2 linked regions of the Bombyx mori genome follow. The protein of the gene in region 2 purifies or fractionates together with the protein of the main gene of each other region. This does not show direct contact. Links are inferred from orthologs where the notes say so. Each region holds a gene or a part of one and is shown on either strand. Other genes may lie near its edges.

Region 1 (3,880 bases), on a different chromosome or scaffold from region 2:
CTGGATCCCATAGACATTTACAACGTAAATGCGCCACCCACCTTGAGATATAAGTTCTAAGGTCTCAGTATAGCTACAACGGCTGCCCCACTCTTCAAGCCGAAACGCATTACTGCTTCACGGCAGAAATAGGCGGGTGGTGCTACCTACCCGTGCGGACATACATGAGGTCCTACCACCAGTAATTACGCAAATTATATTTTTGCGGATTTGGTTTTTATTACACGATGTTATTCTTTCACCGTGGAAGTCGATCGTGAATATTTGTAAGTACATATTTAATTAGAAAAATTGGTAACCGCCTGCGGGATTCAAGCATCGGTGCATCGCTAGATATGAATGCACCGGACGTCTTATCCTTTAGGCCACAACGACTTCAAAGAGTCGCAGTCTTCGCAGAGTCCTTGACTACTTCGGTCACAGTGTAAAGAAGAATGGAAGCAACCTCGAAAGGCTCAATAAGTTGGGCCGACCAGATCCGCCCTGCCCATGGTCCGACATTTCACAACGCCCTCCACACCACCAGAAAAAGAAACAGGTGGAGAAAAATCTTACGAGAAGTAATGACATAGAAATAGTGCAATAGGGAAATAGTGCAACGAAGAATGAATTTTAAATTTGAAAGTGGCAATAACTTGTCTTTTAAATTTGAAAGTGGCAATAACTTGTCTGTTAAATATAAAGTAATTTAAAAGGAAAAATTGATACCAAAATAAATGTCGTTAAGTGTGTTTCTGATCTTATTTTCCATGTCTTCCACCATGCGCCCAATATTTGCAATGTGCGGAGTCACATCACTTACTGTCGAGTCTTGTTCTGCCTGAAATTCAAAAGATAATCTATAATATTAAAAATACGATATTATAATTTTAGAGTAAATGGATAGAATACAGAAAGTCTGAAAGAGGCACATGGGACAGAGAAGTTAAGAAGTGTGTATTTGGAATGATATGGACATGTAATAAGACGAAATGACAATGAGATTGTTAAGAGTTTTAACTGTGAATGTGCAAGGCTTTAGAGGGAGAGATAGACCTAAAAAAATTGGATGGATTGAGTGAAAGATGATATTATGTGTAAGAGGGGAGTAAAGAAGAAATAGTTTATGATAGAGGAGTATGGAAGGAGAAAACATGTTGCGCCGACCCCAGGTCACTGGGAGTAGGGCAAGAGAATGATAGTGATGATGATGGCATTATAATTTTATTAAGATTTGGGGATGCAGTACCAGAATGCAATTGTGAGGCTGCAATTGCATTGTTGTTGTTGCATAAATATAAAAATAGAACTCCTGCACAATATTATTAAGCTTTGTGCATATAAAATAAAACTAAATTTACCTGTCTAGTCAAACTGCCTCCAAGGTTCATCGTGCCGCTGCTTTCTTTATTAGTCTGAAGCCACAACATTGCAGTCGAGGTCAACTTGTAGTGAGCATTGCGTCCTGAACTCTTCTCGATCACCTCCACTACGTGGATTGAATCCCAGCATCCTTTGATCTTTTGGGAACCATCTCCAGCTTTCTTGATTAATATTACTCCTGAAATTGTTTTGTTTATTTTTGTATTTGTAATTATTATTTTTAAATATTTAAAGGTGGACTAAATAATGAAATATTAGTGTATAGATGAGTATTTTATACTATAAAATACTATTATATACACTAATATTTCATTAATCATTTCAAAGAATTAAAATAGAGTGTCAATGAAAATAATGAATGAAAAAGATGATGCAATTAAACATGAAGATTAATGTTTTATGTGAGAGATTATTTAACTAAAAGTATAAAAATATTACCAAATTAATATTATTTACTCTTTATTTAAAAGTAGTTTTTACACTTTATAGAGATCCATACCCAGTGGTGAAATGAAAGATAGCTTATATTTATTCTTAGAGCTCAAACTATTTCCACAGAATTTTGTAAAAATTGGCATACTGGTTTAGAGATGAAAACATAACATATAGACAGTTACTTTCATATTGTTAATGATATTTGTTATAGAACTTTTAAGATCAAAGAGTATAAAAGTAAATAATAAAAGTATTTAAAATTAACAATAACTTTCTAGCAAAATTAAATTTTATGAAACTCTTTATTGATCTCTAAATTAATATCTGTCTATATGAAAGCAAAGTGAAAATCCATTCAGAAATTCCAGAGAAGTGCTTCAACAAACAAACAGATTAATATAAAAGAACTAAAAATTGCTAGTTTCTGTTCTACTAGTCTTCTTTAGTTGCCCCCTAAAGTAATAAAAATACTATTATTACTTTTCTGTAATGCACAGCCACCCTGGAATTTACTGTTCTAATACATGTCTTTAATTTACAGAGACTAAATTAAGAGTGCTCACCTGCAAAGCCATGATCCATATCCCAAAGGTAGACTGAGCTAACGCCACCTTCAAAGTACATCTCTCGATATTGATCAAAGGCGAGGTTGGCATCTATTTCTAGTTTTCTCAAGCGTTCAGAGGGCATGGAGCCATCATCTAATGGTGGGTCGTAAGTATTCGACCAAGGAGACCTATAGGAGTCACCGTCGCGATTGTAATCGCATAATAAATAGTCTTTCCCGTTGCTACGATCCTGAGCAATCTTTAGAGGCTGATCTACTGATGATAATAGGTCGTCACACATACTCGGAACGAGATCTATCAAATCTGTTAAATTCTTTTCGATCTGCTGAGGGGGCAGCCTCCGCATCAAGTCCAGTGCACAATCCATTTGTTGGTCACTCTGTAACAAAATATATATGCACGATTTTAGTATAAATACTTCTTAATTTCCTTGCATTAGTCATCACAACAAATAGCTTGTTATGATGTATGCCAGGTCACTGAAACTGGAAAGACAACTTACCATATTGAAGTTTTATTATTCGGATTAACAATTAATAACAAAATAACCAAAGTAGTATAATTATTTCATTAAATTAATAACTACAAGTTTTAAAAGTCCCAACCCGAAAATGATAACTTGACGTAATTTGACACTTGAAGTTTAGTAAAGTACCTGCATATGTAGTGGTAGTTATATTTTTTTCACTAGAAAGGCGAAGGGATTAACTTAATCATTTTAAAGTCATTTAACCTAATCTTTTGCATATTCTGTTTTATAAAAATAATATAAAGTAATTCATTTCGCTCTATATCGGGTGGTGAGTAGCTATTTAGTTTAAGCGACATTTCAATTAATACGCGACATTTATCTTTATAATTAAAGGTGCATTTTATTTTGTATCATATCAACATATCGATGTTTTTAATTGAGCTTCAATTAAGTTTACCACATTCAAATAGCTGAAGAGGTTTCTTTATGATATTTTTTTTCAAATTTTAAACATAAAATGGCTCTCGTGTAAGGTTGCAAAAATTTCGTTTAAACCAACAGCCTTTCATCCCTAGGTATCATGGATAGTTTTCCAATAACAGCACTAGAGCGCATTATGCGGCATAATGCTCAACGTTGAATGTTCCAACTACAGCAACGCTTCGCACAATCGAGCACTCTCAAAAGTACTGCCTGTCATCAGAGATTTTATTAATGGCTCAAATAACTCATCTGTTTCATTATCATAAATATTTTCAATAAATATATCACTTGATAATGAAATAATTGATTGATTTAAACTCGGAGCACTCGATAAATTATCGTCATCACTGTCATCTGGATAAGATGATTCAATTAAAAAGTATACACATCATTTTCTTAGAACTCATTTAAAAAATACTCAAAACGAAAAAAAATGTTAATGAAATAATCGAAATCCAAATTACTTAAAATAACCGTAAATAGTTTTCAACCAATTATTATTGTTTACCACATTATTTATACATTAATGAGGTTGCTAGCTCCGTAAATATTTTTTTTT
Region 2 (3,358 bases):
AAAGGAATGAATTTTGCAATGGTGACAATTTGACAGGTGGTGTGCTGGTAAATTAGAAAATATGAGTTTGTTTTAGCATCTTATTGGATACTCGACAAAAAGTTCAGATTAATTTGGTTTTGCTCTAAGAACTTTATCAATATGTAATCAAGGTCACCACTTTGGACCAGATGCATCCTTAAAACCTCCCATTTATTGCACCTATACTTTATTACCATCCACATCGTATGGTAATACTATAACTATAACTTCTATGAGTAGGAATAAAAAAATCATGCTTAGCATTAATTAATATGTCTCATAAAAATATTAATGGTATGGCCAGCCTTATTTTTATTTATTATCAGGGTGCTGGCAGAGAACTATTTCTGCAATTACTTAGGATGGTACAACATTTGATGCCTATAGGTGCCTATTATTGTTACTAGAATATAATATAATAGTATCTCTGTAGCATGATTGTACACAATCTAACTGACATGGCCAATTTTACGTCAAATAAATCTCTCATAAATCAATACACCTACTACCCCTATAAGAATACTATTTATTTGCAAAAAAAGGAATAAATCGCATACAACATGTTTCACAAAATAAATTAATTAAAATAGTAAGCATATATCAACTTTCAGAAGTATTTAATGATTTTTTTCTAGGTCCACCTCTATGTGATCAATAATCTTGCATGATTATAAAATCCTTTATTAAAAACAACATTTTCAACATTTCATAAAAATATTAAGGAATGCTACTTAAATATTTGAGCCTATTACATTATTTAAAACGATAAGAACAAAAACATTACAATTTTAACAATTAGAATGATATTTTTATAGATAAAAGATAATATTTTCTAAACTATACGTTGATTACAATTAAACAAAAAAAAAATATTATTTTATTTTATTAATTTTACACTTATGATCCCATTAGATTAGAGGTATCACAGAATACACTGTTCTATTGTTTGTTCTATAAAAGTAAACTATGGTTTACACACTATGGTTATTTGATCATACTATGCTAACAACACAATAATGTAAATAATAAAATATTATTTTATTTTATTAATTGCTCCAGTATTTCAGGATCGAGACCTTCTAACGAGACTTTGAGTTTCACTGCCTGCAATGGCACTCCTACTTGAACCATTTTAACAAATTTATCATATTCAGGTTTAGTTTTCATTTCTGCTGGGGCTTGGTCTTCTAGTTTTCTTTCTAGATTTTCTTCTTGGAGTTCTGTTTCATTTTGACTTTCAGTAGATTCAGTCTCTGTAACATTACTTGTATTTGTCTGCTTAGGAATGTCTAATTCTGGTATTGAAGATAACTGAAATCAATAAGTTTTATCTATTTATGTATCGGTTTGATGTATGCTATCAATTAAAATGAAGTTTTTGAGGCACATGGGCAATTAAAGAAATGGCATAAACACAACCTGAATAAGGATTATGGTGAAATGCAATGATGCCATATCTTAAAATTAGTAGTAGTCTAATTTCTAATCTGGTAGGAGACCGTTTTTTTTTTAATTCAATTGAAGCTTTATGCATTGCAAATATATCAATAGGCTGCTCTTACTTTATCAGATCAATCAACAGCTTTCCAGAGAAGGTCTTGCAGAAATGGTTTATTATGACTAATGATAGAAAATAAAAACATTTTAGATATCCGTTTTTGTTTACATACAATAATTTATAAAAATATAATCACCTTAGATTCTAACAAAACCATGGCAGCATTAACTTTTTCTAATTTTCTCTCAAACTGCATCAGTTTCTGCTCGCAATTCGTCATAAAGTTATTCAGAAATTGTACATTTATTGTTAGGAAATGATTTACAAATGCCAATGTACGTTTTTGATGTAATGCCGCAACCTGCAATTTGTTTTTTAAATATTAAAAATAAATTATTCTCATTTATAAAAAAATATTGTGTTTTCTAGAATTAGGAAGTTTATAAAGATAATCAAGGCCGTGAAGTTTGTACTGCATTAAATTTTACAACAAATAATAATAATTCCAAATTTAAAACCTTAGTTAAATCCGTTTGTGGGGATTCGGATTGAGTTAAATCTTCTTGGATGGTCATTTTCAGTAGAATATAAACAAGACGAAAAAGAAATTTGTCTTGTGGTTTGGAAGCTTGAATTTGTTTTGTTCTACTGAAAAAACCAAATTGAATTACATTTCAATACATTGACTAATAGGTCCACGAGTTTTAATTACACTAAGTTTAATATAAAAAGCACCTAATTATTTTACAATAACAATCTTTTTCCTTCCGTGACAGTCGTACCTATTTATTTACGTTAAAAGAGTATGTAAGCAAATTAAAAGGAATATTTCAGTAGGTACAGTAGGTACGGTACCACCACCTAAGTCTGACATTATTATCATTAATTTACATTTATCAATATAACACTATTCTTTGACAATAGTGCTACTGTCCACTGTCAATATTTGTAGTAGTTCTATTTTTCCAACTGGAAAGGCAAAAGTATCATACGATACAGCCTAAGTTATCATTGTATTTTATGAAAAATGATAATATGAAGTAAAATGAAATAGAGTTGATTAATTTGAAACAATAATCAATTGGCGTGAAATCTAAGTAAAATGATGGTTATTTACTGAGACTTTAAGGAAACTGCCACCTCGCCCCGGGCAACAGTCTCATCAAAGAGGGTACACACACGCATGATTGCGTCGATGGTAGACCGGCCCTTTCTGAAGCCGTACTGTTCGGCTGACCGATTGGAACCCGTCCTGGGGATGGGGCAGATGACGCATCCACGACTTGCTCCAACAATTTTCTAGTTTCGTCCAGCAACACGATGTGGTGGTACACCACGGATGACTCCTAGAGGAGCTCCTCTTTCCTCAGAAGGATGAATCTGTCCGATTTCCGTCCGGGCTCAAGGCAGGCTTCGAAAAGCCGCACAAGCCAATCCTCCAAAGTACCGAAGGCCTGACCTGGCCACGACTCCGTAGGAGATCTAACAGCTAAGGGCAACTGCTTCGCGAATGTATCTGTAATAAAATGTCTAATTTTGTAGTAATGAAAGCTTTTTAATCACTGAATACATGTGAAATGGCACAAGTTTTAAAAAATCAAACAAACATTGGACGTGTTCACACAAATCATCCACTCCTAGACGTGCAGCGACCGTATTTATTAGATTCCTGCGACTTTCAGTAGGACGTCAGTTCACCTCGTCGAAAGTCTATCTAAGCTGCGTCGTGTGTGGCTGCCACTCGAGAATATTTTCAAAATAAGTTCGTTGATCTCTCAGTAAGCACCATTGTTTCATTATCAACTCATCTAATATCTACTCGATGTGTTCTTCTTTCAT

Evidence for each region.
Region 1: the proteins of WASH complex subunit 3 (region 2) and F-actin capping protein beta subunit purify together in Homo sapiens (co-immunoprecipitation; 4 studies listed by BioGRID and IntAct, with this or other methods). This does not show direct contact. The link is inferred for Bombyx mori from reciprocal best matches to the Homo sapiens genes WASHC3 and CAPZB.

Annotation. Positions count from the first base shown.
Region 1 is NC_085109.1:2,867,093-2,870,972, reverse strand, and holds the start of F-actin capping protein beta subunit, read right to left. Parts: upstream 3,020-3,880; 5' UTR 2,872-3,019; coding exon 2,869-2,871; intron 2,746-2,868; coding exon 2,361-2,745; intron 1,541-2,360; coding exon 1,341-1,540; intron 821-1,340; coding exon 709-820; intron 1-708. UniProt on the Homo sapiens protein: F-actin-capping proteins bind in a Ca(2+)-independent manner to the fast growing ends of actin filaments (barbed end) thereby blocking the exchange of subunits at these ends.
Region 2 is NC_085118.1:943,654-947,011, reverse strand, and holds WASH complex subunit 3, read right to left. Parts: upstream 2,451-3,358; 5' UTR 2,302-2,450; exon of another isoform or gene 2,255-2,301; intron 2,168-2,254; 5' UTR 2,095-2,167; coding exon 2,038-2,094; intron 1,881-2,037; coding exon 1,716-1,880; intron 1,333-1,715; coding exon 1,060-1,332; 3' UTR 687-1,059; downstream 1-686. UniProt on the Homo sapiens protein: Acts as a component of the WASH core complex that functions as a nucleation-promoting factor (NPF) at the surface of endosomes, where it recruits and activates the Arp2/3 complex to induce actin polymerization, playing a key role in the fission of tubules that serve as transport intermediates during endosome sorting.